Kluyveromyces lactis: one gene and its partner. The protein of the gene in region 1 purifies or fractionates together with the protein of each later gene. This does not show direct contact. Links are inferred from orthologs where the notes say so. Each region holds a gene or a part of one and is shown on either strand. Other genes may lie near its edges.

Evidence for each region.
Region 2: the proteins of SSL2 (region 1) and TFB6 purify together in Saccharomyces cerevisiae (affinity purification with mass spectrometry; 4 studies listed by BioGRID, with this or other methods). This does not show direct contact. The link is inferred for Kluyveromyces lactis from reciprocal best matches to the Saccharomyces cerevisiae genes SSL2 and TFB6.

Annotation. Positions count from the first base shown.
Region 1 is NC_006041.1:1,154,021-1,161,210, forward strand, and holds SSL2 (TFIIH/NER complex ATPase/helicase subunit SSL2), read right to left. Parts: upstream 2,801-7,190; coding exon 224-2,800; downstream 1-223. Other genes in the region: SRP40 (Srp40p), read left to right, coding at 3,326-4,432; KLLA0_E13069g (uncharacterized protein), read left to right, coding at 5,014-5,262; LPX1 (triglyceride lipase), read right to left, coding at 5,362-6,453; DNA-binding protein SRL3, read right to left, coding at 6,981-7,190. UniProt on the Saccharomyces cerevisiae protein: ATP-dependent DNA translocase. Component of the general transcription and DNA repair factor IIH (TFIIH) core complex. When complexed to CDK-activating kinase (CAK), involved in RNA transcription by RNA polymerase II.
Region 2 is NC_006039.1:1,119,926-1,125,811, forward strand, and holds TFB6 (TFIIH complex subunit TFB6), read right to left. Parts: upstream 2,922-5,886; coding exon 1,902-2,921; downstream 1-1,901. Other genes in the region: SOG2 (Sog2p), read left to right, coding at 1-1,864; GTPase-activating protein RGS2, read right to left, coding at 3,992-5,005. UniProt on the Saccharomyces cerevisiae protein: Component of the general transcription and DNA repair factor IIH (TFIIH) core complex, which is involved in general and transcription-coupled nucleotide excision repair (NER) of damaged DNA and, when complexed to TFIIK, in RNA transcription by RNA polymerase II.

The DNA of each region.
Region 1 (7,190 bases):
TACAATATCAATACTGTTGAAATTCACTGTGCAAAAGCAATCATTTCTTTGTTTATTTTAGACAGCGGACGAAAACATCTTTTTATAGTGATTATATGTGGTATATTTAAGTATTAGGATTTTATAAAACTGATTCGTGATGCGATTTTTGGAAAGATGATTCATTTGCTGTTTAAAGTATGCCAGTTTAATACGGATGATAAATTATAAAACCCAATATTGTTCATTTATTTGCACTTCTATAGTACATTTTACGGATCAATGGATGATGATCTCTTAAGTCTTTATTCTTATTGGAACTGTATTCTAGGTATGCCATATCCTCACCACCAGCCAAACCAGCCAAAGATCCTTCGCTCTTAACAGCCTTAGATTTGTTCCTTGGTCTCTTGTTCCCACCATTCTTCCAAATGTAGCTATCGTTATCCTCACCTGCTTCAATGCCTGCAGCTTCTTCGTTTTTGAGAAGAACTTCTTGCAAAAGTTCTCTACGTTCTCTAGCAGAAGAATATGCTAGATTAGGCAAGTTTTCCATACCATGTAGATGGGTGATAACCTTGAAAGCATAACCTTGATCAACTAAAAATGCCTGTCTCTTTGTGGAGTAGTACATTTCTTGAGTATCTTTAGAAACTAGAGAATAGAAGAAGGCGTTGAACCCTTCATCGTTACGTCTCTTAGCTCTTAAAATTCTACCCAATCTTTGTGCTTCTTGACGTCTAGACCCGTAATGAGACGAAATTTGGATCAAACAAGTCGCCTCTGGCAAATCAATCGAAGTATCTCCAACCTTTGATAAGAAAATGGTATTGATTTGGTCATTATATTGAAAATTCTGCAAAATATTCATACGCTCTTGTTGTGGCGTGGAACCGTAAATGAAAGGCTTACCTAGCTTCAAAGCATATTCTTGAAGAGCGTAGACGTTATCTGAAAAGACGATAATTTTATCACCTCTCTTTTCATGATATTGAATCAAAAATTGACACGCCTGGAACTTGGTTGGATTCATAATATATAGTAGCATTCTTTTTCTCGCATTCTCTCTTAGATATTCTTGGTAAAACTCTGCAGTCATTGGACACCAAACTTCCGCACACTGCACATTAGCAATGTGACCTTTCTGTGAAAGTTCCATCCAATTAGCTTCGTAAAGTTTTGGACCAATCAAGAAATTCAAATCACTAATCTTGTCATCTTCACGCACCAAAGTTGCAGTTAAACCTAATTTTGCATGTGCGGCAATAGTGGACACAACACGTCTAAACATGGCTGCAGGTACGACATGTACTTCATCCAAAATAATGAAACCCCATTCTCTACCCGTTAAGAAATCCATAACCTTTTGAGAATCGTACGATCTATTTCTAGTGTTAGCAACCATGGAATAAGTCGAGACCACCAGACCAGATTCAGTTTGGAACATTTCTTTGTTATCTGATGTGAAGACGGCAACATTTTCAGGCTGGAGCGTACACCACTGAAGGAATTGTTGTCTCCATTGCATGACTGACACTGACGAAGTACAAAGCACGATCACAGACTTTTTGATAGTACATGCCGCTGTGATACCGACCAAAGTCTTACCAGCACCGCATGGTAACACAATAATACCACTTCTTGCACGACCGTTACCGAACATTTTGCTCAAGGATTTTTCCTGATATGGTCTGATTTGAGTTGATGGTTTCAAATCGATATCTAAATCTGGATTTCTTCGATCGTTCCTGAAATCATATTCTTCCAACACCGGATAGTCAAGTTCTTGACATCTTTTCTTCACAATTTCGACAGATGCATTGTCAATTTCGAAAGCATGAACCGCATCTATATCATCGTCTTCTTCTTCAAGTTCCTTATTGGCCCCCACGACAGCTGAAAAGACAGCTTCCACATCGTTAGGATCCACTCCCTCTGCATCTACCATCTTATTCGCCATGGTTTTCTTAACCGCAGCATCCACTGCAGCATCGGTATCGATTCTTAGATTACCAATGATTTGATCGTTTAACAACATTTGCAAGATATCAGCTTGAGAAGTTTCCACGAAATATCTATTATGCTTAATGACCAATTTCACCTTACCGTATGATACAGTTGCACTCTTAATGAAGTTGATAATCGAAGGTGCAACAGGAACCTTGGACAATCTGTCCAATACTGCTATGATATCTTCAGTTTCCAAACCAACCGAAACCGCAGCATACAAAGAGTAAGCCGTAATTCTGTACTCATGAATATGAGATGGTCTAGAAACGGGTTCTGCGATCGTCACAAGAAAATCCTGTGCTTGTTCTGCCAATGGAGAGAATGATTCTAAGATCACACGTCCATCGTTAGGCGATATCCATAAAGGCCGCGAGGCATGATCCGGCTTCAATTTTAAGTAGCTGAAATCGTTAGTCTTGAACATTCCTGAAACAACGTCAGGCTCAAAATCAGGGGGAATATCGTCCAAATGTGCATGAAGGATATCATCCTTTGCTGCTAGATTATGGTTCATTCCACTACCAGCAGTTGCAGCAGCAGCAGATCTAGAAGAAGAAGAACTTTTCTTCGATTTCCGACTCAAAAGAGGATTCACTTGAGGAGCAGGAGCGTTCGCCTGCATTAGAGATTCCTTTAACTCAGCTTCCTCTTCTTCATCTAAGACATCATCGTCGATATCTGGGGCAATATCCCCGTATTCTTCATCGTCTGTAACCAAAGAGTCATCTGAAAAAACCGTGTCCTGCACTAATTTCTCCTTTCCACCTCTACTTCTTGTGTGATATGAACGCTTCACTACCTCATCTTCCATAATGACACAATTAGTGTACAGATAGACTCCGGGGATAGACCTTAATTCCCTTGTCCGTCCTTGGACTTTGATTCTTAAACATCTAATTAAAGTTAAAGTTCTCTTAAAATCATCTTTCAGATTAATAATGTTGAGGCAAAAATGATTACCCGGACAAACAATATAACCAGAATGAGCCAAAAACCCAATATAAGTTAGAGTTGGATGACCAACTAATAACCATTGCAACCACTAGGTAGTTCCACGATTAACAATACAACAACGAGGTTGCCGAATAGACGAAAAGGCCGGTTTTGCTAGTTGTTTTTACAGTTTTAGTAGTTGTAAGACTGAAACAACCCATACACCACACCTCAGGACATCGTCACATAGTACGGCAAAAGAAACGTATTGAAAAAAAATTCGAGATTAATAGCGTTATCCAAACGAGATGAGCTTGCGATGAGGTAGGTTCAGATCTTATCCAAGAGCGATTACGATAGGATCACCAGTGGTTTGGGTGAGGAAATAGTCTAATTTTTACAGATGAGTGTTAAGAAGCAAAGTTCCAAGTCTTCAGTGCCAAAATTGACGAAGAAAGATGACAAAAAGGTAAAATCATCGTCAAGTGGTTCAGAGTCTAGTTCCAATTCCAGCGACAGCTCGAGTTCAGGTTCAGGTTCAGGTTCAGGTTCAGGTTCAGATTCGGATTCGGATTCTGGCTCAGACTCTAGTTCAAGCTCTAGCTCAGATTCAGAATCGAACTCTGATAGTAGCTCCAGTTCCAGTTCCAGTTCCAGTTCCAGTTCCAGTTCAGACTCAGACTCCAGTTCAGACTCAGATTCTAGTTCCAGCTCAGACTCTAGTTCCAGCTCAGACTCTGATTCCGACTCAGACTCTAGCTCCAGTGCCAGCTCAGAATCCGATGATGAGGACGAAAAAGACATCAAAATTAAGATAAAAGATGAAAAATCTGAGCCAGTAGCAGTGGAAGTAAAGGTGTCGAAATCGTCAAACTCGGACTCGGAATCTAGTTCTGATTCTAGCTCCGATTCAGACTCTAGCTCCGATTCAAGCTCTGACTCAGACTCCGATTCAAACTCTAGCTCTAGCTCTAGTTCAGATTCAGATTCAGACTCTAGCTCTAGCTCCAGCTCGGACTCTAGTTCGGACTCTAGTTCAGACTCAGACTCAGACTCAGACTCAGACTCAGACTCAGACTCAGATTCGTCCTCAGATTCGTCCTCCTCATCTAGCGACTCCGATAGCAGCGATAGCGAAACTGCAGTAGAAACCGAAACCAACAGCAAACGTCCTCTTGAAACTGAATCTGATTCCACTGAAAATTCCAAAGAATCATCACAAGAACCTTCAACAAAGAAACAAATGATTTCAGCTGGCGTTGATGAAGTATTGCCTGGACAAAGAAAACATTTCTCCAGAGTCGAAAGAGAGAAGATTGCATTTGAACACGAAGTCCTGACAGATAATACATACAAAGGTGCCGCAGGTACCTGGGGTGAAATGGCCAACGATAAGTTGAGCCGTGTGAGAGGAAAAGATTTCACTAAAAATAAAAACAAGATGAAAAGAGGTTCTTACAGAGGTGGGTCTATCACTATGGCTTCTGGCTCCTATAAGTTTACTGATTGATCAATTCCAAACAATTCTCACCTAATGAAAACCATAAACTACCATCATTCACCATCGTCATCTAACTCTTTGGAATAAGAGACAAAACTGTTTCCAATATATACTTACAATCGAAACTATTGTGTATTAAACTGTATAAACCTTCAAAAACCTTTGTCATTGAACAATAAACCGCTTTGTCAATTCCGGACCAATATGGACGGAACCAAATGCCACACTTGACACGCACCCAATTAAGATGCATAGAAGTTGCTGAAAAAGCTGTGAGGAATCTTGGCTCGAACAAACGGATTAGGAAAAAAGTTTTTGAAAAGTCGCGAACGGAAACGATGCACACCATTGGGTACCCACATTTTTGGCCGGTAAGCATTGGTTACCCCTCTCTCGGATAGGCAAGGTTGCAAAGACTATTACTTGTTACTTTTGTAATTGCCATAAATAGAGGCCGGGAAAAGAAGTTTCTTTGATAAGTTCTTCTTCTTCTTTACATATTAATTAAAGTTTCACAAGATTACGTATTTGCAGATAAGGCATTATTAGCAAGCAAGAAAGCAAGCAATAAAATCAGGAATAGAAGCATCATGGGTTTGTTAGACAGTGTTAAGAGCTACGCATCGAAACAAAGTGAAAGCGGTGAAGATTTGGTCAAGAAGGCTGAGGGTTACTTGGGTGAAGAAAGATTGGGTCAAATCAAGACTAAGGTCGGAGAAGAAAACTTCAAGAAGTTCGAAGACCAAGCTAGATCTTTCTTGGGTGAATCTTCCGAAAAGAAGGACTCTACTGAAACCTCTGGTTCAGCCGAAACCTCTACCGAGTCTAAAAAGAACTAAGGCAACTAAGGCTGGAAATAAGCTCTTTACATTGAGTATATAATTTCATAAGTAACATTAACAGATATCCTTTCTGCTATAACTTTAAAACCGCATCTTTCACAACTTTGATTTGGGTTTATTTACGACTCGTGTAGCGACTAATTCTTTGTACAATGGTTCGAACTGATCTCTATTGTTGTGTAATTCATCCACTGAGGCTGATTGGAGTTTTTTCGTAATGTGGCCAAGAAGCATCGGTCCGATTACGTTCGGATTTTCAATGTTCATAAGATGGTCGACATTGTCGATTTGGATGCGTTTGTAATGAGGAATGGTGTCCTGTAACAGCTGATAATTTTCCGGCGGACACCATTTAGATTTACCACCCACGTAGCAAATCACGGGGCTTTCAATCCATTTCAAGTTGTCAATTAACCAGTAAGCATAGGGGTGGAGACACATGTACCCGATGAGGTGTTGCTCTTTTGAAGTCTTCGTGTGGAATTTCGATCCTCGTTTTATCAACTCAGCGTCACAGAAAGTATCTAAAATAGTTTTATCAGAGTTTCTCCAAAAGCTGCGCTTCCTCATGAACTCCTCGTACTCGTCCCTTGTGGCAAAGGTGTCTTGAACCATGTTGCTAATAGCATTGAAATAGTTGTTACTCAAAAGCGTGATCTTCTTTGGACTTGGTGGGTTAAGCATCTTAACAACGGGCTCCATGGTTATGATAAGCTGAAACAAGTTTGGAGATAGTATACCGCAACCAAGAGCTTGATGCCCACCCATAGAATGCCCAATCAGTACGTTGAAACTGTTTTGTTTTGGAGGATTTAACTCAACGTCACATATCTTGATAATATCCTTAGAACCATCGATCCAATGGAATATAGAGCCAAGTTTCCCCTCGTTGGCAACACAGGAATCACCATGGTTCACTTGGTCCACTGCTATTAGCTTCCCAAGCTTATACTGGTATTTTTCAGGGTTCGCTTGGATCTGTTTGTGGAAATATTTCACGTACCATTCCCATATGCTCTTTGTCATACCCGTTCCATGTAGAAACACGATGTTAACCTCGGGAACAGCTCTAAGATCCTCAGTTTCGTAGACATCGTAGAAAATCTCAAGAACGTCGGTCCCACTCAACGTACTCCGGTAATCAGTTCTTGGTACAGCTGCAGTCACCCTTTTCGTCGATTTTATCATATTATTACTGAATTATTAGGGGAGTTGTAACCTGATATCAATAATGTGCCCTAAGAGATTACACATTCAACTGATTATCACCATCAAGCATCATGGGGACATACTTATAATCCATATATGTTTACTTATATATCTTTATATCTGGATCAAACTGACTTAAAGTGGAGAAGAATATAGAACTTCGGACATAATCCTTGGCAATGAGTAATGAAACAAAGACCGTTTCTCCAAAAGTATGTTAAAGGAAACAGGCCCAAAGTTCATAGGGGAACTCTGCATGCAGATTAAGCTTGGGGAAGAATACTCTTGGTTAAAGCTTATTGTGTTTAGTTTTCTATGAATGTTAGTTAGATATGTCAGACTTGTGTTACAATTAGTTTAGAGATGTATTTGAATTGATTGATGTTATGAAGAGATTAGTGTAATAAGAACAGAGAAAGAATTTAGAATTATTAAGGTAAAAACAGGCAGATATGGGATTACCAAAATGAAGTGAAATGGGTAAAGAGAAAAAAAGGCATTGTCATTTACTCGCTTTGAGACTCTACGTCAGTCTCCACGTCAGTTTGCACCTCCGAATGCAAACTCAGTTTGACGGGTTTCGTCAGTTTTGGCGAGCCCAGGGAAGGGCGAGGACCCTGTTTAGAGTCACTATCATCGCTTGGATTACTAGTTCTATCTGAATCAGTAGTAGTAATATCAGAAGCACTTATCGTAGCAGCAGACGTAGAATTATT
Region 2 (5,886 bases), on another chromosome or scaffold:
TCTACAAGGTTTTACTAGTTCCAAGTGCTCTGCGGAAGAATACTGGGTTATAGCCTTAAGAAAATTCTTCAGTGACAATACCGTTTCACAAACACCGGCAGTTACAACTCTGGATCCACAACAAAAGATAGCAAGGGCTGCGAAACGAATGGGCTTTATTGGAAATTCACATGATTCGGAAGACAATGAGAATAATCTCACGTCTCCCCAGAGCGATCTTGATCTTTACTCTCATTCAAAATTCAACGAATACTTCAAAAGATTATCTGTTCTGCCAGAGGAACCCAATTTGCAAGAGGTAGAAGAGGAAACAGATGAACAGAATTATAAAGAATTACTACAGACACATCATGAAAAGAAAAGAAAATCTATGGAAAATGTTGTGCTAGCTTGCAGGAAACTTTTGTTCACTTTCACTGAGTGTCAGCAAAACATTAGGAAGATAACATCGCTATGTTCTGAAAAGACCATTTCGGTTAATGTTGTGTCACAGCTTTACAGTCTCAAGTCTCATATTGATAATTTAGTTGAAGTCTTGGAACAATTTGAAAATAATAGTCAACAAAATGATCCTTCAATAACGCAAAGTCAGTTCCTTCATCATGATGTTTTGATACGACTATGTTTGACCATACTTTCTATATTCAAAAAGATTTTTGTTCAACTTCGAAAGAACTTCACTGCATTTTTTGGCAATAACGACGTGTTTTTTTTAAGGGTGTTCTACATGAACATATTATGTTCGTATACTGAAATATTCAACGCCTGGAAACTACTTGTTTTGGATAACCAGGAAATGATGAAAAAGAAAAAGCTAGCCAGAACGCATTCAGTTCATTCTATGAACATGGCTCAGTACCAAAAGTATTTAAACAGCAGGCAAAAATCGTCTTCTGCTATTAATCGATCTTCTTCTCTGAGTGGCGTCTCTTCCCAACAGTCTGCAATTAATGTCAACACACCAGGTATAAATGGTCCTTATGCGAATCAAAATGGCCAACAGGTTACCCCGCCAATTAATCCAACATCTTTCACGACTACACCGATATCTGAAGTTTCAACAACACCGCCTATACTAGATTCTTCACCGAAACCACCTCGCAGTCTAAATTACAGTGAGCAATCAACTGCCTCCACAGTCACACAAGGTGCCGCACCCACCGATACCTCCAATATCCCCTCACAAGCACTTGCAGATAAGGATATAGACCTGCAGCTATACCATACGTTGAATACAGTTATTGATATGGTTAACGTTGTATATTCACAATTGACGCAGGCAATAACAAAGTCAGCAATAGCTAGTACTACCTCCGATCAGCTTTCAATAACTCCTACGGTTGCTGCAAAAACAAAAGAATTGACAGATACTTGCTTCCAATCCATGGAGTTATCGAAAGTGTTAAAAAAACGACTAAATGTGATTTCCAATAGTGATATTGACACATATTTGGTTACTAAAGAAAAGCTCAAAACTTGGGAAGATATAAATGCATTTTTGAAGTCAATCATAGCTATTCTAGCCAACACAAAGGAAATCATGAGTGATCTGCCGACTTTGAATGACGTGAGGCCTAATCTAGCCTCTTTAGCTAAAATTACAAAGGATGTTACTGTTATACTCGATCTAAGCTCTTACAAAAGTGCTTCCATTACCAATCAGCAGTCATCCTCAAACCCTTCATATGTTGGTGCAAGTTCTGTTGATGCGCCATCACAACAGCAAAATCACACAACGAATCAAGGATCACCGGCAGGTCAGCATGGAGATACCACGGATCATACAGCTTCGAATATAATAACACCATTATCTACGCCTTCGCTGGTGACTTCTCACAATGTGAATCCATTTGATCAACTGTGATAATAATGCATTTGTATTCATCCTGTATTTACGTATGCTATGTACCTCTCTCTAAGGTTTCTTGATACACCCTTGAAATTTCATAGTGATAGCCATGAATGTCATTCTTTTCCATTAATTTCGGTAGTAATATTCTGGTCCTCTCAGCTATTCCAATTAATCTAACAATTTCTGTTCCACTTATTCTAAAGTTCCCCGGAACTTTCCCGTCAATTAATCTAGCAAAAATAAAGTCTAATATAGACAATAATTTAAATAGCTTTCTTAAAGATCCATGGGTACGGGGTGAATCTGCATTAAACGTTTCAGGCTTCATGGATTGGCCTATATTACTTGAAAAACCATTATCAAAACGACCATTGGTCTCGTTATCATCATCAAATTCATCTTGCTCGGTTAATGGAAATTTATCCAAATAATCTAGAAGATCGTCTGAAATTCTGATTAGATAATATGACTGACCAAAATCGGTTGACTCAGAACCTTGATATTTTTGGTAAAGAGCAGTGTCATCCAAGTTTAATTGTAAAATAGCGTCAGTGTTGCTGACGCCATCGACTGAATACCAGATTAAATCGATCAATTTCTTGAAGTCGAGAAGGACTTGTGAAAGACTTTCATACCCTTGCTCTTTATTCAAACCTCTACTTTGGACGAATTTTCTCTGAATTTGCAATAGTCTTTCGTCTATGTAAGATACGAATTTAGATTGCTGGGATAAAGATAATCTTCTCGCATTTGAATTTGGGCCATTTTCTTGGGTGCGTGATAACTGTGGTAAATCGACGTGAGATTCAAACGGAGACCTGATGTCCAAAACAGGCTTAAAATCTTCCAGATCATCGAATTCCGGGTTTTGCTTCTCGTTATCGATGAATGTGCGTTTCAGGGTCGGAGGTACCGATCCTTCATTATCTTCCTCCATTATTACGTCTTCCACATCATCCAAATCTGGATTCAAATCTAATTGCAATAGCTCGTCCTCATTTATTTCGTTGATTTCATGTTCACCTGCGTCATGCGCGGTAGGCGTAGTTGGTGTTGGAATGGATGACATTAATTGAAAATGTTTCTTACAACTGTAAAATCTTGCTTTATATTTAAAACTTTAAGAGATGAACCGCCTTGCTATAAGCATGAAAATGTTCACGAACAGGTAATAATCTTCTAGTAGTTTCCTCTCTAGTTGATTGCGAATGATTTCTGTTGGATATTGATGTAGAGGAATTCTTAAAGATAGCACCTTTAATATTCAGTTCTTGTGTTCATTGATAATTCTTTCTTCACAGTATTCCCCAGATAATCATATGTGGATTTTCATGATGTAACGAAAATATCTTGAAAAGAGAAGAAAACACACCATATTACTGGAATTATTAAGGACATAACCAGTCCTTTAGTACATATGGCTGAGGTCTTAGATCGAACCCATGGAATGTTAAGGTGAGGAAATAGATATAAATACATAGAGGAGTTGAAGGATTTCCGACAGATACGAAGATATAAATGTTAATATTATGCTATAGGATTACAGTCAAATTACGTATGATTGTTTTGTATGTAGAACATGATTCGGGTTTGTCTATCCCGATTCAGCCTGGGAGATTATACATTAGACTAAGTGATCAGGAAACAGATTTCATTGAAACGTAATTGAAGAAGAATGATAATTCCACAAGAAGTTCATTAGAAAAGGACAAATAAATCATGATGCGGCATAGAAAAAAAGAAGTTGACAATGAAAGAGCGACAGATGATTGTAATGATGCTGACGTAAACCTTAAGAATCGAAGATGGGTATGTGCAATTAGAGGACTCTTTTTAATGATTTTTATTATGATGATAAGGATACAATCTGAAGGGTAGAGCAGATCAGAACTTTTTAATTTTGCAATCACCTGGGTGGTGAGGCGAAGCAGAGTTCTAAAGTAGAAAAGAAAAATAACAAGAACAAACGCATGTCTACACAGTGTGTGGTATTAGTATTTTTGTAAGTAATCAGGTTTTAATATTGCAGAAACGAATTTTCTGTTTGTTCGACACTGTGCTCAGGGATTTAAAATGCAGGTGCTGATCTGTTTGTAATTCTTTTATTTTTTTTAGATACCGTGGGGAAATAGAACCAGTTTAGGATTGCCATGATTGAGGACCACTTTGGCCACCACTGCTGCTACTACTTCTGCCGAATTTTAGTCTGTGTACCAATTTCGAGAACTTTTGTGATGAGCTATTAACTGTCGGTGATTGAGACGACACTGATGAAGACGATGAGGCCGTTGATCCCTTCGAGGAGGACGAGATGGAATATCTATGAGATTTTTTCAGCCTTTGAGCTGAGGGAAGAGATGGCGTTAGGGAAGGAGGTAAGACGTGCTGTATTTTCTCTTGTGGAGTTCGAGAGCTACCAAAAGATTTTTGGGTAGATGATGTGGATTCAGCCGAGGGGGAAGGTGGAGTGTTTGGTCTCAGAGGTGTTGATACTAGTGGTGGAGTAGATCGTGTCCGTGATCTGAATGTGGCAGTAGATTTAGCCTTTTGATACTCCAAACGTTCCCCGACGCTTGCCTCGTCGTCACCTTCTTCTAGTTCATCTTCTTCCTCCAACGCGAACTCGCTAAGCTTATCCAGGATTGGACTTACCAAGTCTATATTTTCTTGTGTCAGCACAGTGGTGTGAGAGTGAGAGGTATTTTGGTCTTTATCTGTGTCAGAATGGTGATAAAGAGTACCGTCCTTATGGCAGTAGCAGTCGGTGTACTTGATATTATCCGGTATATCAGAGTTTCTTTGAAATTTACTGTATGCATCTTGTAGTAAGTTTACAATGTGTAGCCTTGCTTGTTCTATAGTTTCGTGAGTTGGTAGGCCGTGTTTACGGAAGGCTTCATCGAAACAGATCCTTATTGATTCTGGGAAGTTACATTCTTTTGGTGCGTCTTCTTGGATGAAACGACGATAAACGTCATTCCAATGTGTAAACGAGAGTTTTGAGTTCGGGTTCATGAATGGATTTGTGGCTTTGATGAACCATAAGTTCTCATCACAATGTGGTTTGGCCAAGAAATCATGGAAGCCACTTAAAATTTCATCATGATGAATACAGGATAGCTCTTCATCTAACAACTCCTCTAGCTGAAGCATTATATGATTGCCAGGACTCTTATTTGTCCTTGTGTCGTAAAGTTTCAGAAGTTTAACGTCCAGCGGTTTTTAATCTATCAATGCTAAACGTAATTCAAAATCAACCAGAAGAGCGAGAGAGAGAGAGAGAGAGCGTAATATCCGTGGTCGCTGGTTAATATTATTTTTTTAATACAAGGGGAATGATACAATGCGTGAGGTGGGGGAACACTATTTCTATAATCTATATCTCTTTCTCTCCGTGTATAAGTCAGTGTCACTCCAATATTCAAAAGACTTTCATACTATTTTCGTCAACACTAAACGGTTTTTCCTCAAAAAAAAAGTAGTATACCTTCTGAAAATCTTTCAGTGAAGTAACCTTGTTGAGCAGAGTTACTGAATAAGTAAAAGTTTGTTGATATCTACCTTGAGATCGAAGTAAAGACAGTGAGAGTTTATGAGACAACTGTAAACAGGAAGCAGTTACTCTGGCTTTAAATTTTGAATTTACACATTAAACCTTTTGTGAAAACACTGAAAAAGAAATTAAATTTCACACACCCACCTAACTTTAAGCTATGTAAACTGTGTACCGAGAAAACTACGGAGGGAAATTCTCAGGTGATAGGAAGGAACGGAGATAGAGCAACAAGGTAATCTATGCAAGGAGCAATAGCTCTTACTTACACAGATGATCAAATTGTGTTTTACTAGCCGCAATATCGTAGCCGTTTTATCCTGCTAATAGAATTGTGTCTCTGCTGCTCTTTTCCCGTACCAACCCGTATTTACCCTCACTATGTTTCTTTTTCATTTTTCCTTTCCAGTTTTTTGTAAAAAAAAGAAAAGCACAGGAAAATGGAAAAGAAACATGGAAAAGGAAACTTTAATCCGTATTT